Caenorhabditis elegans: one gene and its partner. The protein of the gene in region 1 purifies or fractionates together with the protein of each later gene. This does not show direct contact. Each region holds a gene or a part of one and is shown in the gene's direction. Other genes may lie near its edges. The genes, in order: T24E12.13 and C39F7.5.

Region 1 (8,364 bases):
AGAAAACGGAAAAATTACAAAGCAAGGGAGCAAAATGGGAAGAAGGAGAAGAGAGATGATAAATAATTGAACGATATTTTCAATTTTTAATTTTAACCTAATAAAAAAATATTCCTCATGCTCATTAACAAAATTTAGGCCAATGTTAGAAATTGTCTGAAACTTTTCAGCTTCAAGGGTTTTGAGACTTCTCTTTTAAACACCTATTTTCAAAATGTTTGGTTCTTTGTTCTCCATCAAAATGAGAGCATCTATAACTATCATTTAAGTGCCCTCATAAAAATTATTCAAGAATAACCGCAAGGAGAGGCAGCTGGCGTGCGGCAGTGAAGAAGGAAAAGGTGAGCCCCTGGTGTGTGCGGGGAGCCTATGACAGACGGTATAAGACTAGAATATTTATATTATTTTTTAATTGATACTAAAAGTATGAATTAATATAAATATGCTTGTTTCAAACCAAATGACAATGGAAAATTAAACTCTAAAAACTAATTAGTATAGGTAACTGGAAACAGCGATAATTTTGAATTTTGCATTTTTCGTAAGTTCAGATTTTTTAAACATCCACTACTAATCTGTGAGAGAAAGAGCTATTATTATTTTTGGTTTTTAAACTTTTCGGCGACAAAAATGTGTGGTTTATGATGACGGAGCTCTAGGTGACAATTATGCTAAAAATATATAAATTGAGGATAACTGGAAACTTGTAAATTGTTGCATAAGTTTTTCGTTGTTTGAACTTTTTCATTTCCTGCAGCACAGTGTTCTACTCGGCCGAGGCAAAATGCGGCTCCTTACTAGCCCTCCTCAAGCCCTAGCAGCAGATTAGATGGCCTAGAAAACCAAAAACATCGACCACCAAATTATCTTTGGTTTTTTACATTTCAGATTTTTTCAAAATTTGTGCAATCAGCTTCAAGACAATTTTCATAAATTAAAGTTAAAAACCGTGCTGAAAAAGATCGTTGAGATTTCAGAAAATGTCTGAAATTGTCTGAAAACTTGGAATTTTGTATAAATTTCCAGTTGCTAGTTAAAAGTTTCGCAGATTTCCCCCATCTTCCTACACCTTCTCCTACTGTTTTCCGTCTCTTACTAGTCACCCTTTGACCTCCAGTGACCTCTTCCCCAGGTACCAATGTTGTCTCTCCCGCTCTACAACCACCGGCTATGCACGATTTCCCACGTTCTTTGTGTTGCCCTTCTATTTCTCTGTGGAGATGGCCTCTTCCGCTCTTTTGGAATCGATTTTTTTTTTGGGTTTTTTGTGGGCCTTTTTTTTTGGTTTTTGCTGAATATCTCGGTCATCATTAACGATTTTAAATTTTTGTTAACTGCAAAACTGTGGAGCAGGAAAATTTAATCAGTTTTGTTGTTTTCACTTTTTTGATAACTTCAGTGGTGACGGAGATATACGCGCACAAAAAGCTGTGTCTTTTCCCGATTTTTTTAAAATTAAATTTCAGATTTAAAGGCTGAAGGAAATGTCCCAGTTTCCGTCTACTTCCTCTGCCGATTTAGTTTCAGGTACCCTTTGGCACTATTATTCTTTTTTTATAATCCTTATTTTCAGATTCCAATGGAGCCGCACTCCAATCTCTCAACTCCGAACTCCACAGCAAACTGATCTCTGCCTTCATCAATATTCAAGACTATGAGCAGTGTAAGTGCTCCGGGTTCCTCTAATTTCATTTAAATTTTTCAGGCAGGCACACTCAGGCCAGGCGTATTTTCTCCTTGGAGGCAACGGTCCGAGCTCAAACCCAGGAGCTCAAACAGCTCAAGGCAGAGGTGCAAGCTCTCCGTCAGCCGAATAGTCCCGTGTCAAAAGTCAACATGAACTCTCCGGAATCTGGGATCTCATCCAGCTCACCGAGCTCGTCGACGTGTCTGGAGAAGTCCTCGGAGGAGCCAGAAGACCTCGATGCCGTTGTATATGAGAAAGACGTTCTGGTCCCGAAAGCCGGCAGAAGCTTCCGATCCTTCGCTGACGCCAAGAAGTTCTGGGAGGAGCATCACAATGAGCCGATCTTGCTGCCAAATGATCCAGAGACTGGTGAGAAAGCTGCCTTTTCTTTGTAGATTTTATAAATTCTAAATAAAAAATTTCCAGATCTGCGCTGCTGCCTCTTCGACCCAGAAATCCCTCACGTACCGCAGTTCAAGAAGCGACCCGCTAATGGATACAGTTTGTACCAGAATCAGAGAAAGTCTGAAGAAGGTCGCTGTGAGTTTATCTAGTTCATATTGAATTAAACGAGAAGTAATTTCAGATGAACCTTGGCTTAGATTGAGTAAAAAGAAAAAGGAAATTTGGGCTGAAATGGGGAAGAAAGTGAGAGCCGAGCAGAATAGGCAAGCCGAGAATGGCTTGATCCATTTCAAGGGCCTGATCGGAAAAGTGAATATCAAACAGGAGCCCGAAGATTATGAAGAATAAGCCCAATTTTTATTTATGTATCAGTTGATAATATGATCTCAAGTAATTCCAATATTCGATTATTTTTGACTATTTCCCTTCTGTTCCTCATATTTCATTTATTGGTTAATTTACATATCTCATATTTGTTATCAATAAATTGAATTCATTACCCTTATCACACACATACGCCCTTATCACCTCATAACTATATTGTAATCACCTCATTATTTGCTCGTTTACGAGTGAAAGAAAATGTCATGTGAAAAGTGATAATGATAGAGTGCAATGGAATGACGTTTTAAATGGAAATGAAGTGTGAAGATAGAGGTTGAAAAATTGCGAGTAATGGGATTTTTATGTTTTCTATCGAATAACACTAGATCAAATGAAAATAAGCATAACTCTTAGCCTAAGTCCGATTTCAAGACTATGACTAAGACAAAGACTAAGCCTAACTTGGAACACCGCCAATGAGTAAGTAGCTAGAGAGATCCCCGGAGCAACAATTACCACTAAATGAAAGTTGGCATCTATAAAATCACAGCTATTTTACAACTCTGAAGATCCAATAAATATCGATTATTTTCAGATGAAGATATGCCACCTGGTCAGATTGAAAAAGAGGCGTTACGAAAACGCCTCTCATCCGCCTTCTTCAAAATTTGAACTTTTCCCACATTTTCGATCTTATGAACCTATTAGGCTGTTTGGGTCATTCTTGACAAGAAACATCAACAGATGCACCCCTTCTCTAGTCAATCCCGCCCAATTTCTGCGGCAGACACTCTGTTGCTCAGCATGTGTCTTTTGGCGGGCTGTGTGCTCATATGGTCCATATTTGTCGGGCCTCGTGTGTCATTTTGATGATTTGTTTTGCAACTCTGATTTTTTCTGTGACTCTTAACCTATATAATTTTAAGTTTTTTCCTTCAATTTCTGTTTCAGATCATGCCAGATATGTCTAATTATTCAGTCAATCAACCATCAGACTTACCTTCCCAATTGACTGAACTTCAAGCTCTCAACCAGGAGCTCTACAATAAGGTGCTAGAGCAGCTTAATGTAATCTACGATTATGAGCATTGTTAGTTTTTTATTTGTTTGTTTCAGCTGGGCCTTATTCTTAATTTTACTTTTTCCAGTCACCCATCGCCTGCAAAATGAAAATATAGAATTAAAAATGAAAATCAAGAGCCAAGAACAGGATCTTCAAGCTCTCAGAGCCAACCAAGCCCAACTCAGCTTGAGCATCCCTACCGTGGCTCAAACAAGCTCCTTCGCCGCAATTTCCCCCATCTCGCCGTGCTTCTCGGGAGTTGCTCCGATGAAAACTCAGGGAGAAGAACATTTTATTGAGGAAGTTTCTCCTTACTTGAAAAATTACGAGGAGGCCTTAATGTATTGGGAGGAAAATCACAACATAGAAATTATGAATCCAGAGTGGCCCGAGACGGGTAAGTAGGAGAGATTTTTGCATGCATCAAAAAAATTTTAACTAGAAAGTTCTAGAAAACAATATTTTACGCATTTTGTCAATTTACAGTTTTTGTTGAAATCAAAGTATTTAAAAAAAAAATTTTTATGTTCGAAATGGCAGAGTCATTATTTTCCAACCAATTTCAGATCTGACATGTTACCTGTTCAATAAGGACATTGGGCAAGTCAAACAAATTGTGATGAGGGCTCCAAATTGCTGCTCCTTGTATGGTAATCAACGGCCATGCAAAATAAGTAAGTTTTTTTTTAAAAGGAGGGCAATTCTTATAACCAACAAGTACCCCCAAATTTCAGATCCACACTGGAAATCTCTACCGGAAAAAACAAAGGAAGTGTGGCAGAAAATGTGGATCGTGTTGAAAGACGAGCAAGTGAAGCAACGAAACGCTGGGCTCATCAGGTTTCCGGATTCAAAACCGAAAAAAGTTGGAAAAGTCTCAATTAAACAGGAAATAATGGAGATGTATTGAACATAAGCCCTTTTTTGTTATATTTTAAATTTTAGTTATGAATAAATTTTAATTATCACCACCTCTATCACCTTATCAGTTGAGCGTCTTTTACTGATAAGAAGTTTTAAACTTTGAACTAGCATAGTTTTTCTCATGGCCTCGTTTCTTAAAACAAAACATACCAGCGCCAAGGCTAAGAGGGTTCCGAACAAAAACATACAACAGGCAGGTGGCTTCTACCGTACACCTAGTGGATGACTTGGCAGTCGGCCAAATCGACCTATTACGCAACATTGCTACTTTTCACAGGTTAGACAGAGTTCTGCTCATCATAGATTGTGCAACAAAGTGATGTATCGTATTGCATGTATACTTTTTGGAACGGGGTGACTTTTTTATTCGAGTGACCTGTCTCTCAAAGTTTATGTTAGCTGATAGTTTGATTTACGAAAATGTTTGGATTGTTTGTAGTTTTTTGTAGTAGTATTCAAGTATTTTTTAAATTTAAATAATAGTTTTTCGAGACATTGGAATTCACTTGCAAAAATATTGTATTGAAAAAAAAAACACATGTTCTACTCACAGTTTTTTATGTAATAATTAAAATTAAAATGGTTTTTGCAAGTTATTTTTCAACCCTAAAATTATTGTTTTCCACAAAATCAATGCTAATTTTTATTATATACACCCATATCTACACAAAAGTTAATCACATACCTTGTCGCCAAATGATATACTATGACATTTTATGACCTGCTCGACAATCAAAATCATAAACTCTTTCAATCGGCGAAAAAAAAGTACGTGGTGTCATGCAAATTTGTGCGACATCGATAAAATGTTCGTTGCTAGCTGGCTCTCGATTGTATAGTGGGAAGTGTGTGTCGGCTTTTATTTTTGTCTTCGATTTTTTTCCCTGTACTTTTTTGTTTCCGAGGGGTCAAAAAGCAATATTTTGAAAGATTTGGAGGCTAATAAGATTGTGGTAAAATTGATAAGAGGCTCTAGTTTGGACGCATCTCAAATAGGCCTAACTTAGACAAATTAAAAGTAGCTCTAATCATTTTTTAAACAATTCAAGCTTTTTCTAATCTCTATACACTCTATACAATTGCTGCTCATTTTCAGTTTCTATTTCCTACGTGAGATTCTGTACAGAAAATCTTTGAACTATCTATTCAAAAATTACGAATTCCCTCAAAAATATGGAAATTCACATTTTTATTCGTTTTTTTCCACCAATGTGAACGCTTATAAAAATGTTTCAAAATATGAGAGCTGCGCCGTTTTATTTATTTATTTTTGTTTCTTATAGATATTCTTCTCAACATTTAATATTTGGAAGTATTACAGTTTTAAAAAATTTAAAAGCTTTCAATTTCTTCTGTTTTTTTGCCATACATTATATTATAACTCACGCTATGTAGTAGTCATAAGCTTCCCCTCTGTCACAATTATTTAAAAAAATACGAAATGCACGTTTGATCTGATCATTTTGTGTTGTTTACCACTGCTAACATCTACAATTTGTCTACTTTTTATTCTGATTTAATATGTATTTTTAGAATTTATTTGTCTTGACGTTGGATCTTTTTTGAATCTGAATTATTTGGATACATTTCTATTTAACTTGGGGACCATATAATTGTTTTTTACTTTTTTTTTCTTGCCGGTGAAATAAAAGGGCACATTCAAAAAATACTTTGGGGGAAACAATTTAAAATAAAAAAAAGCTAGCCTCCATTAACTCAAATTTATTATTTAAAAAAAACATTTCAAATTTTTTCGAACAAATTTGAAGTTTCGAATAACTGATATTCCAATTTTAGCTGTCAATAAATTTTCAAATTCCAAAAAAATCGTTTTCTCCAAAATTAAACACTCTAGTTTGTTTTAAACTTTGCAAATATACTTGATCATATAAAATTGTTTTCTGGTACTCTACGCTACCCCAGATCTTTTTTTTTTAAATTTGTGCTCTGATTTGGCATATCTCTTCTGATCTTGTCACCACTATTTACTGCTAAAACAACCTTCAATGTTCGTTTAGTACGTCAGAACTATAATAAAGGATTGCGAATAATTTTTGAGTCAGAACCTGTCTCCAAGTGTTACTAGGTAAGGTTTGTTCTGACTTGAAAGTAGTAAATATCTGCTACTTTTGTATCAGAACAATATTTCCTTTCTTTGAAAACTCTTCCATTTTGAAAAGTTAATCATACTTTTTATAGAACCTTCTCACTTGACCACCAACTTGCAAAAAAAATGAACCATCAAAATCAGCATCCCGGCTATAACCTTGGCTATCCAGCACCATCTCCACTATTTCAACAACCTCCGCCAAATTATTTCTATCATGGTTAGATAAATGGTTTTCTTTTATAAAAGTTAGTAGAATTTCAGAGCACTACCAGAATCTCCAAAGAAACTTCCTAATTCTGCAAGCGGAAAGGAAAATTGAGTTTGAGCTTCTGAAAAAGTAGACCAAATTTATCGGCAAAAAAATTTGCCGAACGGCAATTGCTGCCCACCACTGCTTTAGATAACGCTTACCGCTTCTATGGTGACAAAATTTTTAATTTTTGTTTCAGAAAATCAACAACTCACCAGCAAATTTAACTTGGTCACACGCCAAAATGCGGACCTCAAAATCGGATTGAGAGGAGTTTTGTTTTCAATCCAAGGGCTTCGCGAAGAGTTATCCGTGGCAAAGCAACGCATTGAAGAAATGAAGGAAGACAGTTTTTTTGGTTAGTTTTGATTTTTGAAAATTTCTTTAAAAATTTCCTTTTCATTTCAGAAAGTATGCCAAAGCTCGAACGGGAAGCTCCAGCATTCATGGACTCTCCAGCAGAAACTTCTTCACCGGATGTTGAGATGGAGGACGTTGTCTATGAAGAAGTTGTTAAAGAAACAGAAGTCGCAAATTTCTAAAGGGACGTGATAGAAATTGATCCAGATGAGATTGAGGTGATCTTCTCTGTAAACGAAAATCGGAAGATTTGTGTGGATGCCATTGAAGAAGAAGATCAAGAGAATCTTGAACCTGTCTTCAGAGATGAGGAAAACGCCATGGAGGTTCATGATAGCGATGCTTACAAGGCCGATGAAAAAGAAGAAGAAAAAGCTGAAGAAGTGGAGCTCGACGACTCCGACGTTGAATCGGAAGAAGAATCAGAAGACGAAGAATCAGATGAAGACCCAGAAGATGGCCCAGCTCCACGTAGATTTGAGACATTCGATGATGCCAAGCAGTTCTGGGCTGAACACTTCGAAGAAGAGCTGATTCCGAATGAGGATCTGGGTGAATAGAGTTAAAGCTTCATACTTCAAGTATCAAACTGTTTCAGACCTCAACTGCTACCTCTTCAACCCCAACGGTGAGCCAGTGGTTCCACAGCCGGTGAAGCGCGCGATGAACCCTCGTTCCCTCTTCAACAACCAGAGGCCTGTTCAGGTGTACCGTAAGTACACAAACCTTAAAGTTTTTTTTCAATTAATCAAATTCAGATCAAAGATGGGAGTTGCTTCCAAATGAAGAGGCTGAGCATTGGAAAGAGATGTGGGTACAGATGAGAGATGAGCAACGAGAGCAGATTGAGGAGCAACTTATTGAATTTCGATATTCTTCTAAATCCTGAATTTACACAAAACATTTCTGGGCCTTGATTTTTTCTGTATTTTTTTTTGTTAATTGATATTAAAGTTCAAATTTTATCAGATATTAAATGCAACAGAACTTTTAGATGGGGGTTGGTGGGATAAAAATGACAAGGTATTCTACTGTTGAATTACTGTAGTTTCGGAAAAAAATGAAGGTTCAGCAATTGAAATGGCTGATGGTTGGAGAAGCTGAGAGGGTTGGTGAGTCGTTTTCTGGGTTGCAGATAGTGTAACTAGACTTTCATAGGTTATTCGTAGATTTCGTAGTTTCGAAATGTATCAGTAAGAAAATGTGACAAAACACTTCCATTTCAAACAATCAATTCGAAG
Region 2 (12,822 bases), on another chromosome or scaffold:
TCGTTTCAAAACGGAGCTCCTCAAAACTTCCAAGTGGTGAGATTTTGAAGAGAAAGCTTTTGCGGATACACTCTCAGAACTTTTTGCCAATTTTGGTCGTCCGTTGTTTCTCGCAAAACGGCTTTTCCTCCGGCTTTCTTCTGTTTCTTCCACCAAATTGGACCTCTTTTCTCTTTTCGTCCCTGCGTTTCGTTTCCCGTTACTTTTTTCCCAAACCAGCCACGTCGTCGTTGCGCCCCAAGTCCTCCCAAAAAAGCGGTGCGATGACAACGTGTGTGCTCGGCGAGCCCAAAGGCGATTTTTGATTTTTTTTTAATTTTCAGTCGGCTTACCCAATGTCTACTTTGTCTTATTCTAACACAGTCCACGATGGTAGTAAGCTAACGAAGAAAAAGAAGAAGACAAATGGAAATTTTGATCCACGGAACAAACGGGAAGAAGTGAGTATTTTGGCACACAAAAAAAGCGACGGGGCCTAGAAAAATCGGAAACTCGGCCAGCTATTGATATTCCGCAAGAGTGCACAAATTTGTTTAATTTCTAAAGTTTTCCGGAGCAAACCAAAAAAATTAGAAAATTAAATATTTTTTGTTTCCGTTTGCACGGATTTCTGGCTTCCTTCATAAAAATGGAAGAGTTTGCCGAACTAGGCCATTTTGGCTCGGTCATATCTGGGGTAGATTTACGGCGCGTTGCGTGTCGCGTCGCGGCTCGATTTTAGTTGTAAGACTAAATATATTTGTCCGTGTGGAGTACACGACTTTCCCACGCGTTGTCCGTCTGGCGATTTTCAATGGAGCGCAAAAAATTCAATGAGGAAGACCAGAACCCCGGGATTAGCCTGGAAAATGTTCTCCTCGAGGAGTACACGAGCTGCGTAAATCGACACATATATCTATAGATGCGTTTTTTTTTGATTTTTGACTCAAAAAGGTAAAAACCGAAAATTTAGAAAGAAGTGTGCGCCTTTAAAAAGTACAGTAGTCTCGAAATCTTGCACTTTTCCTATTTTCAGATGTTTTTTGTATTACTTGAATACAATTTTTTCTGAAAATGTGTATTTCGCAACATATTTGACGCGCAAAATATCTCATAGCGAAAATTACAGTAATTCTTTAAATGGATACTGTAGCGCAGGTGTCGATTCACGGGCTCGATTCTATTTTCGTTCATTTTTTCGTATTAATTAAATTTAATTTAAAAAAAAAAAAAAAACGAGCCCGTAAATCGACACCAGCGCTACAGTATCCATTTAAAGAATTACTGTAGTTTTCGCCACGAGATATTTTGAGCTTTAAATATGTTACGCAATACGCAGACTTCTCAAAATTTTGTGTTCCCATAGTATATGACTTTATAATTTTATCAATTTTCACAAAAAAAACTTTAAATTTTTAAAAGAAACAAGAAAAAATTAAAGAAGCCGAAGCTGATTGCGAAATAGCTATACTTTTTAAAGGCGCATGCATCGTTTCATAAAATATAATTTTTTTAAATCGTGTCGAGACCGGTTACCGTACTTTTGCGTCGAAAATTACAACATTTCGCTATTGGATAATAGGACTTGAAAGGCAACCACCTAAAATTTTAGCTAAAATCGGGGGAAAAAAAACGAGATTTTCTGATTTTCCCAGAAAAAATCTCGACTTTAGATCAAAAATATTTTTTTTATTACAAGTTTCAGTTTCAGTCTCCAATGTGGCTCATGGAGGCGTGTGTCAATCCAACAACTGCCGGCTCACGAAAATGGCTAACAGAATTTCTGCCGATGGCTGCTCAGCTTCTTCTCGCCGACCGGCCGGCCTACATAATTGTTCGAAATTCGTGGAATCCCACACCGTTCGACCATTATCCATCGAGACCTGCCACGTCTATTCTGACGACGAGTGCCGGTAACGACAACAGCATCTACGTTTCAACGGATGCAAAGATCTGGACAAGTCAAGAGATCCGAGCCACCGTCGAGGACTGTGACTTTGCATCCGGAAACATGTGGTTCTACATCGGAGCTCCACGAAGTTCCGACGAACTTTTCGAAAATGTAATCGATCCACTGTTGCAGTGGAATCGTGCACCATCTGGCAGTGGTGAACTTATTGGGAGTGCCGAAGACGCGTTGGCACTGCTGCATTGGAATGCTGCAGGAGAAGTCGCCGTGCTTGGAGCTCGAGAGCTGAAGGTATAAAGGATCTTTGACTGCACCACACTTATACATGCTTCATTGCAGAAGTTGGCTAGCCGTCTCGGGATTGTTATCGAGAATGAAGACGCGATGGTTATCGACTGTCTCGAGGAGGACTTCTCTTCCAATGCCGCCACCGCCACATCCTCGGACGAACCAGAGGTGCCACGTAGAATTCCGATATTCGATATGTTCTGGGTCGGCATCGCGTTAATTATCCTCCAATTGTTGTACTTGTTATCGAAATTCGACTTTTTCCGGGAATGGTTCGCCTAAAGATAATTGATAAATAAAAACTAAAACAGAAGCACAATAAAATTCACATTTAAGTTTATGGATAGGGCTTAGACAAAAAAAAGAGGGAAGCAAATATATAAAACTCTTTTTGAAGGGGGTGATTTGGGTGGTGGATAGGGGGAAAGGATATTTTTTCACAACACAAATTATCTATTTTCGCGGAGAAAAAGCGTAAAATCGTGGGGATGTACATTCACACAGACACACACATTCAAAAAAGAAAATAATTTAGGTTACGACGTGAATTTGGGGGTGGGTGAAGGAATTTTTTATAAGGGGAGAGAAAAGACAGCAGAAGAAAAAGAAGTGAAAATCAAAAAAAAATTACATTAGATAAAATTTAGAGTGATAGGAAGAGGGGTTGCATTAGAAAATTTTCAGTGGAAAGAAACAAAAAAATACGACTAAGAGCTTGATGGTGAAAGAGTGCCGAAGAGGGGGGTATCACAGAGATTATCGTTTCGATTAACAACATCCACCGCTCTTCTTGTCTTGAACCGGTTGACTTCCCGTGATACGCACACCTGGAGCACCTCCGGCTCCTTGAACTGGTCCCATACGTGATTTGATTTCCGAAGCCATGGTAAGGAAGGCCTGAAATGTGATTTTATTTTTTTAAAAATCATTTTTAGCCCAACAAACCTGTTCAACATTCGTCGATGACTTGGCGGATGTCTCGAGGAACGGGATTCCGAGTTGTCCAGCATAATCCTGGGCAGCTTGAGTCTCCACAGCTCTCTTCGCTGTCAAATCGCATTTGTTTCCGACCAACAGCTTGTTGACGTTCTCACATGCGTACCTATCGATTTCCTGAAGCCACTGCTTCACGTTGTTGAATGTCTCCTGAAAAATGCTCATAATATTTATTGTTATAAGCTTTTTAGGAAAATAAACTAACTTGGTCAGTGATATCGTAGACAACGATAATTCCGTGAGCTCCGCGGTAGTAGCTCGATGTAATTGTGCGGAAACGTTCCTGACCAGCAGTGTCCCACTGAAAAATAACTGTTTTAAAACGAATTCGCCATTTTATTTGGTTAAACTCACGATTTGAAGCTTGATAGTTTTGCCGTCGAGCTCAATAGTACGGATTTTCTGAAAATTACAAAATCATAATAAATAATTTCGACGGAAATACTGAAAACTTACAAAGTCAACTCCGATAGTGGAGATGTATGATTCAGTGTATGTGTCATCGGCGAAACGCAGCAACAGGCACGATTTTCCGACGCCAGAATCTCCGATGAGGAGGAGTTTGAAGAGGTAGTCGCTGAAATTGGGAAAAAAATTGTTAGAAACCGAATATTCTTCTGCCGCAAACTCACTATTCAGGGTTCATTGCTGCCATCTCCTTTTTGTCGATCTGATAAATTGGAACCCCCTGAAAAATTATAAATTGCGAATTGAATAAAGCATGAGGAATCGATGCGAGAATGAGGAAAATGAGTGTCAAAAAGGATTGCGAAAGTAAAGATGAGAACGGTGACAAATCATATGACAAATCGGTCAGCAACAGGAGACAACGTGTATAATTTATTGATCGCGGTGCGGTTTGTAAACAAAAGAGAAAGCAACGAGAGAAAACCGGTTTTATCCAGACGAACAGTGCAAGAAAACCTGACTCTTTTATCAGTAAAAGAATTTTTCCTGAAAGGAAAAATTCTAAAATTCCACCGGATCAGTTTACAGACTCCAAAGCTAGAAAATATTTCGCAAGACTTTTTTATCGATAAAAATTACTTTTTCGGCATAATTTCGACTCTGATCACGCCAATAGGCAGATATTAACATCAGAAACACAATAAAGAACGTCTGGAAGCTTTTAAAAAGTCGAAAAATGGATAAAATTAGCCAGGAAAAGCTGTGGAATCGGGAGAAATGACGTGGCGAGGCAGAGAGATGAATACCCCGTGACTGCGGAGCGGCTGCGGCGCAACGCGTGCGATGGGGCGCACATGCATTATTGAAATAAAAACATGTTTTTATTGAATTTATTTGATCGAAAATACATACCTATAAATATATAAATAATATATAATATAAATATATAAATAATACGAATTTTATCTAATTTTCTGAATATCTGAAAGCATAAAAAGAACTTCACTATTTGAAGATCCTTTCCAATCTAGGAAATAATCAGATTAATCTATTGATTTTGCAGATTTTTTCCACAGAAGCTACATATGGGAGTGAATTCTTCACAAGTTGCACAAGATAGATTAAGGTGCGTAGTAAAAAATAAAAATAATTTATGGAAATTTTAAACTTTTAGTCTCACTTCTACCAGTCAAAACTCCCCGAGAAACGGTTTGCGGAGCGCTCGAAATGTGTTGAGAGCAACTTCGCGACTCAAGTTTTCGTTCAAAGTAAGTTTTAAGCACTCTGAAAATATCAAAAACGGATTTTAAAATCCGAAAATACGATATCCGGTCTCGACACGACAAACTTTTGTTAAATGCAAATTAAGTGTGTGCGTGCGCCTTTAAATCCAACTGTAAAAACTTCAAACTTTCGTTTTTTTCCATCAATTATATATTACGGGAACACAAAATTATGAGAATGCGTATTGTGCAACATATTTGACGCGCAAAATATCTCGCAGCGAAAACTACAGTAATTCTTTAAATGGATTGTGTAGCGCTGGTGTCGATTTACAGAAATCATTAATTAATCGATAAAATATTAAAAAAAAACACAAAAATGACAAAAAAAAATCATTGAAGTTGAAAAAAAATCGTTTTTAATTTTTAAAACTGTAGTTTTCGCTACGAGATATTTTGCGCGTCAAATATATATTGTGTAATGCGCATTTTTAGAATTTCGTGGTCTCGTAGCGAAAATTACAGTAATGACTTGTGTCGATTTACGGGAGCGATGTTTGAAATTAATTTCTTCTAGTGACAGCGAAATTATTTTCCAATTTTTTGCTTAATTTCGAAATTCATTTCAAAAATCGAGATCCCGTAAATCGACACAAGCGCTAGAGTAGTCATTTAAAGGATTACTGTAGTTTTCGCTACGAGATATTTTGCGCGTCAAATATGTTGTTTCGTTCCCATAATGTATAGTTTGAAGTTACAGTACTAGTTAAAGGCGCACACATTATCGCATTTGGCAAAATATTTGTCGTGTCGAGACCGTCCAACTTCCGCGTCACCAGGAGTACTGGCTTTCCTCATTTAATTTTTTGCGCTCCATTGACAATCGTCCGCCGGACAACGCGTGGAAAAGTGTTGTGTACTCCACACAACGAAAATCGAGCCGCGACGCGACACGCAACGCGCCGTAAATCTACCCAAGATATGGACGAGCCAAAATGGCCTAGTTCGGCGCAAACTCTTCCATTTCAATTTTTAAGTTAAGCCAGAACCGCGTGGCGTCGGGATAAATAAATTAAATAATAAACGACAAATCTTTTGCAGAGAAAATCTTCCACTCGAGACCAAATCCGACCGTTCGAGGAACTCATCAAAAGTTGGCCAGTTCAAGATCTCAACCTTCTTCTAGCAGAATTTGAAGCCGATTCGAAGCTACTCGAGTTTCAGCGACTATGTGATAATTCAAGAAAACCGACAAATTCTTTCCTCAGAGACTTCGAGAGCGGGAGAACCGTGTCAGGAAATCTGAATATCTTATTCAAATTCACCTCAATTCGCGCTAACCGCGCATTCGTTTCTCAAAGATGTACAAATCTCAAAATCTCGGCAAACTACGATGAGAACCCGGAAAACTTTGATTTGTGCGAGCAAAAATTTTTGAAATTCGAACAAGACGCGGTCGAGATATTCTTGAAATCGTACATTTATAACGAACAATGGCCGGAAAACTTGGGAAGTGAGATGCTCGAACAACTGTGCACAGATTTTGGATGTTTTAAGAAACTTGAAGAAGATGTGAAGCATATGTACAAGCAGGATCTGAAGCATGGCGACTTGATAATTGAAGTTGTCGACGGAAGTGAGTAGAATAGTTTTTTAGTTTCTTAGCCTTGGGCTTAGGCTTAGGCTTATCAATAGGCTTAAGCACGGGACTATGTTTAGGTTTAGGCTTAGGCTTAGGATTAGGCCCAGGCTCAGGCTTAGGCTTAGGTATAGGCTTAGGCTTAAACTTAGGCGTATGCTTATGCTAAGGAGAAGGCTCAGAACTCAAAGACTTAGGCTTAGGCTTAGGCCTAGGGCCAGGCTTAGGCTTAGGACTAGGGCCGGGCTTAGGCTTATGCTTACAACTAGGCTCAGGCTCAGGCTCAGGCTTTGGCTTTGGCTTAGAGTTAGGCACAGGCGTAGGCTTAGGCTTAGCTTTAGGCTTAGGCTCAGGGTTAAGCTGGGAATAAAAAAGAAAAAAGAAACTCAGAAAATTCAAGAACTCAGGAAAATTTAAAAAAATCTGAAAAATGAGACATTCCAAGATCGGGCAAAATACCATTAAAAAATTCGATAAAAAGTGCCAAAAAAAGCAATAGGTTCGAAAAAAAAGAACAAAAAAGCTAATTACTTTACAAAAAATCTAAATGCAATTATTTCAGAAAACACCGAAGAAAACAGCGAGAGCTTCAAAATTCGATGCTCTTCTCTAATCGCTGCTTCACGAAGTAAAATCATACGATCGTTACTGCTGAGAAAGTTGACTGAGAAAAATGAAGGAAGTTCGACAAGTCGTCCCAAACGAATTGTCTTCTCTGAACTAATATTCCCACAAGCATTCGCTCCGATATTTGTCTCATTTCTGTACACTGATCGACTGGATTGGAGTTTGGCGCCAAAATCCGAAGACTCTATATCTTCGTTATCACAAGCCAAAGCTATAACGAATAGTGGTAGAACTCCGGATTTACAACTGGCTAGAGCTCTGCAATTAATTGAGATTGCACGGTTTTTCGAAGTCGAACAGTTGGTTCAAGGTATCTATTTTACTTAAACGATCGATCCGCGAATCAGGGATGGGCGGCAATCGCCGTTTCACGTGGTGCCAGACAATACCATTACGGTTTGATCTACAAAAAATGCGGGAATTTTTTCCACAAAAAATGTGACGTCAGAACGTTCTTAACCATGCAAAATCAGTTGAGAACTCTGCGTCTCTTCTCCCGCATTTTTTGTAGATCTAAATAGATCAAACCAAAATGGGACACTTTGACACCACGTGCCGTTTGGCAGTTCTTTTGTAGACAAATTCGGCGAATTGCCGGTTTGCCGATTTGCTAGAAATTTTCAATTCCGGCAGTTTGCAATTTGCCGGTTTGCCGGAAATGTTTCGGCAAGTTGCTTTTTTCGGAATATGTATAGTTTTCTTTAGATAAGTTGATATAACTTGCTTACTTTCCAAAATATGTGTAGGAACATTCGTAGGATTTGCAATTTGCCGGTTTGCCGAAATGTTCAATACCGGAATTTTCCAGATTTGCTGGAAATTTTAAATTCTGGCAAATTGCCGGTTTGCCGATTTGCCGGAGATTGCAATTCCGGCAATTTGCTGATTTACCGGAATTATTCGTTCGCCGCCCACCCGCGCCGTGAATTTTGCAAAAAAAAGTAGCGTCGCAGAGAAAAAGAGGCGGAGCGTATTTTTGCAGTCCTACGGCACGGTTTTTTGCTTGGGATAATTTTGGGGGTCCCAATCGGGGGGCCCACAAAACCTTGCGGAAATTCAAATTTGCAACTGCCGCACGGTCTCGAAAAACAGAAGCTGCTCGATGTTAGGGATTGGGAGACTTAGAGAAAAATTAACTGTGCGGAGGTTGCAAAATTGAATTTCCGCACGGTTCTATGATTTCCGGCAAACCGGCAAACAGCAAATTGCCGAAATTGAGAATTTTCGACAAATCGGCAAACTGGCAATTTGCCAAATTTGTCTACAAAAGAACTGCCGAACGGCACGTGGTGTCAGAGTGTCTTATTTCGGCTTGATCTACGCAGATCTACAAAAAATGCGGGAGAAGAGACACAGAGTTCTCAACTGATTTCGCACGGTTAACAACGTGCTGAAGTCACCTTTTTTTGGGAAAAAAATACCCGCATTTTTTGTAGATCAAACCGTAATGGCATTACGTGTGGGCGTGGTCAATTCCTCGATCGGGTTCCCCCGATTAACCGGTTTTCTGGTATCCCAGCTAGCTAACTCATTACATTACAGCTTGCGAAGATGTTGTCGTCAAGAATCTCTCATGTGACAATGTGGTTGGCATTCTTCAATGGGGCCGAGCTAACAACTCGAAGTACATCTCGACTCACGCATTTCGGTTCATAGAGCGTGATTTTCTGAAAATTGCCGCATCAAGCTGTTTTTTCGAGCTCACTTCCAATGAGATGACAGAGATCACACAGAGTCAGTTCCTTCAAACTACCGAACTGGACCTTCTCGACGCTTGCTGTCGATGGGGTGAACACGCTCTTCTAAAGAAAATGGAAGACCGCGAGCCGAACTTAGTGGCAGACACATGCCACTCTATAAGTCGACGAGGCCTGAAAAAGTCTGAGAAGTCTGGAGACGAGCTTAAAGAGATTTTGAAACCTCTAGCGGATAATATAAGGAAAGACTATTCGCTACCACCATTCCATCAAGACTTGACAAATGCCTATAACAAGGGGATCCTGGAGCAGTCTCCGTTGGGACAGGATCTAGTTGTATGTGCATCAACTTCAGAGATTAACCCAGATGTTCATTGGCTGAAGCCAGAAGATGAAAGTACCGGACCAAGATATTACAGGTTTGTAATAAATTCAATAATAAAATTGTTTTACTAGTAGTAGTAGTAGTAGTAGTAGTAGTAGTAGTAGTAGTAGTAGTAGTAGTAGTAGTAGGGCTAACAGCTCCGCGTGTGCAATGAATTGCGAAAGGTAGTTATTTGAAGCGGCCGACACGTTCGGTGCTCCGCGCCGCTCTATACATTCGGCTACATGCGGCTTGAGTGACGCCGTGAGGCCGGCGCGGCGACCTCATTGGAGCCCCAACTAATGGTAAGTTTTCAGACCTTATCACACTGCTCTACTGAAACATCGAAACATCAAAGATCCTTCCTGGTTTGGGAAATTGCTCGTTACGGACACCAATGCACCATGCTCATTGGAATTCACAAATCTATACCCGGATATATTAAGCGGCGAGTTGTTCAACAAAGTGAAGGTTCTAGTTTTGAATAGAACGGAGGATCCTGATTTCACAAGTCTGTTACGGAATTATCATAGGAGAGTGGCGTTAGAAATGGTGAGAAGATTTATTTAAAAAATTGATGTAGCATAACAAATAAAACAACATTTTACAGATAATACGGCGAACACTAATTGAGCTCGACATTCCCGAGGAATGCATATCCTGCCACCTTTTGCCGGAGGACACTTCCAATAAACCAAGCACGCCTCCCGATGTGCTATCACCAGGATGCAAGGAAATTTTCTAATTTTTTTTACTCGTCATATTGGAAACGGGTTTTTTTTCATAATTACGGATGTCAAGATATTCTATAGTACAAACAGATTTATAAATATGCCCGTAAAGCCATTTTATTCTTCTTTATTTATTTATTTGAATGTTATGAACACAATTTCACAGCTGGCTATAACCAGTTTCAGGCTTAGTTTTAGGCTTAGACTTAGGGTTAGACTCAGTCTTGGGCTTAGGCTTAGGCTTAGACTAAGACTTCGGCCTAGGCTTAGGCTCAGGACCAGGCTTAGGCTCAGGCGTAGGTTTTGAAATAGGCTTAGGCCTAGACTTAGGCTTATGCTTAGGCTTTTAGGTTAATCTTAGACGTAGGCTTAGGCTTAGTATTAGACTTATGCGTAGGCTTAGTCTTAGACTTAGGCTTATGCCTAGGCTTTCGCTTAGGTTTAGTCTAACGCTTACGCTTAGGCGTAGGTGTAGTCCTAGGCGTAGGCTCAGGCATATGCTTATGTTTAGACTTAGGATTAAGCTTAGGTCTAGTCTTAGTCTTAGGCTTAGTCTTAGGCTTAGGCTGGGCGGAAATTAAAAAAAAATAAATATAGAAATTCTTGGAAAAATGCAAAAATTACACAATCCCAAAAAAATCTGAAAACAGCAGAACCCTGTGCCCAGAAACAAGGAAAAAAGCGAAAAAAAAACACGAAAAATGAAACATTCCAAAGTCGGCAAAAAATGAAAAATTGAAAAAATTGTCCGGCACATGTCCAAAAAAGCAACAGATCCAAAAAATAGTGACAAAACATAAGACTCTGACTCTAAAAAGATTTCACGTGAATTATCTTATATTTTCAAAAAAAAAACCACGGTATCCACGTGGGTTATTGGAAAACGTTCGAACTTGCACATTTAATTAACTTTCAAATTTATTCCTATTTTAGTTTTCCATCATCTTAGCTGCTAAGAATATGGGACTGTTTTCCAAAGGAGGCTTTAAAAGAAAAGCGCAAAAAAAGAACATTAAAATAGTGAGTTTTCATTTTTTTTCTCGTCTGTTTACAGAATAATCATTACCTTTTTAGAAGAAAAAATCTGAGGCGAAAAGCAACAAACCCCGTCCAAAGTCAAACCGTACCTCTTCTGGTAAAATACCGAGTAAATCAAGTACACCGCTGAAGGAAAGAGGCTTGACAGTAGAGCAGGAGCAGCAGAAAAAGAAGAAAACTTCGGAAAATACAAGAACTGAAGATTTTCGAGAACAAGAGGAAGATGCTGTGAACGAGGAAGCTGATGCAAAACCGTCGAAAAAGGCCCGCGGAAAATCATCCAGGCGTAGAGAAGGTAGTTTTATTACGGAATACACCATATTTTCATACAAATAATACTCTGATGGGGAATGTTGCGCCAAAAAATATACATTGTCTGATGATTTTCCGCTTTTGAACCGCAACTTCGATGTTGGACTTCGACAGGCCACATTATCTTATTCTTAACTTTTATAGATTACGGAAATTACAGTACTTTTTTTAAAGAGAATTACACTTTTTGCATTCAAGATAAAACTATGTATACCATTTTTAGAGCAGAATTACGAAATTTCGTAATTTTGCGGTTTACGTGGCAATCTCTCCTTTTTATCATTAGTGCTCAGTTTTATTCGAACTGCAAAGTTCACGTTATCCGAATATATTTCGAAAATCCAGTAGTTTTTATGCATTTCTTTTTCAACAACACGATGAAATAATATTATAGAAAAAATGCTACTTTTGTAGAACTTTGTAGTAGATCACCCTTTGACGCTAAGAATGAGAATATTATATCATTGCGAAACTTTGCCATTCTGCCTTAAAAAGGGTATACGGTCTCGCCACGAAAATTTTATTTTGAATGAAGAGTACTGTAATTCCCGTCTTCTATAAAAGTTAGGAATTCGACATAAAAGTTTTGGTTTAAAAACTAAAATTTTTTTGGGCGCAACATTTATTATCAGAGTAATATTTGTATGAATTTATTTTTAACAAAACTTTATAGTATAATCTAAATTGAGCATATTTCCAGGCCTAGTTCCCACTCCGATTGGTCAAGATCTGAACGTTGAAGTTACCAGCAGAGGTATTGACGATACTGAAATGAAGCGAGTTGTCGAAAAGTTCAAGCTAGAAAAGAAGAATGCCACTCCAATCACTGCACCAATCGATGAAAAATCAAAACTATTGATGGACAGACTTCCAACAAAGAAACCCTGTCCTGTACAGAAAGATAATGGAATGGATGAAGCATCTTCTTTCTACACAAAGCCGAAGGAAGCAAAGAAGAAATCAGAAGTATCAGTTTTCTTGAATATGGATGATTATGACCAATTTCCAAAGTTGGCTGATGTTCTGATGATGTCCCCATATAATGTGTTCAATGCAGATGGAGTTCCATTTTGGGCTGTGAATCCTGAGCCAAATGATGAAGATTTGGTAAGCTCATGTAAATAAATGATATTTTTTCAATAATCCATATGATTTAGAAGACTACAGCACCAATAATCTCCGTTGGAAGTGAGCATTTGGAGTTGTATCACGACAAAAAGATCACTCTTCAAACCATCGAGAACACACAGCTTATGCTCAATGAGCTTCAACCATTGACGGAATTGATGAAACGAGATGAGATTCACTTCACGCCTCAACTTGTCTTTTCCAATACTCTACGATCCATTGTCAATCCACAACAAATGGAGGAGAAACAACGGAGCGGAAGTATATCGGATGAAAGCCAAAAGCCGGGCAAGCTGGTCTTTGATATTGAGAAAGTAGAGGAGTATGTCTACTCGGTAATTATTTTAGTTTCTTCAGTTGAATTTCACTGTAGAAAATTTTCAGAGAAGCAATCCAATTGAGTCTGCGAAAATGCTGCTTCAGGAGAGGAAATTGAGCAACGTCCAAACGACAACTACAAGTACTGCTGCAGCAACTTCCAAC

The links.
Region 2: the proteins of T24E12.13 (region 1) and C39F7.5 fractionate together in Caenorhabditis elegans (co-fractionation; one large-scale study listed by BioGRID). This does not show direct contact.

The regions. Positions count from the first base shown.
Region 1 is NC_003280.10:3,784,091-3,792,454, forward strand, and holds T24E12.13 (Coiled-coil domain containing 112), read left to right. Parts: upstream 1-3,360; 5' UTR 3,361-3,370; coding exon 3,371-3,506; intron 3,507-3,564; coding exon 3,565-3,876; intron 3,877-4,045; coding exon 4,046-4,153; intron 4,154-4,213; coding exon 4,214-4,389; 3' UTR 4,390-4,446; downstream 4,447-8,364. Other genes in the region: T24E12.2 (uncharacterized protein), read left to right, coding at 1-66; T24E12.1 (HMG box domain-containing protein), read left to right, coding at 1,485-1,527, 1,574-1,663, 1,706-2,056, 2,114-2,227, 2,274-2,440.
Region 2 is NC_003283.11:1,260,130-1,272,951, forward strand, and holds C39F7.5 (BACK domain-containing protein), read left to right. Parts: upstream 1-4,643; 5' UTR 4,644-4,665; coding exon 4,666-4,706; intron 4,707-4,754; coding exon 4,755-4,848; intron 4,849-5,904; coding exon 5,905-6,439; intron 6,440-7,004; coding exon 7,005-7,379; intron 7,380-8,611; coding exon 8,612-9,185; intron 9,186-9,447; coding exon 9,448-9,682; intron 9,683-9,740; coding exon 9,741-9,875; 3' UTR 9,876-10,031; downstream 10,032-12,822. Other genes in the region: C39F7.1 (uncharacterized protein), read left to right, coding at 336-440, 1,685-2,179, 2,228-2,458; rab-1 (RAB family), read right to left, coding at 2,945-3,073, 3,122-3,322, 3,378-3,473, 3,527-3,574, 3,629-3,749, 3,805-3,827; Y75B7B.1 (DNA-directed RNA polymerase III subunit RPC4), read left to right, coding at 10,822-10,881, 10,936-11,194, 11,912-12,318, 12,369-12,674, 12,724-12,822.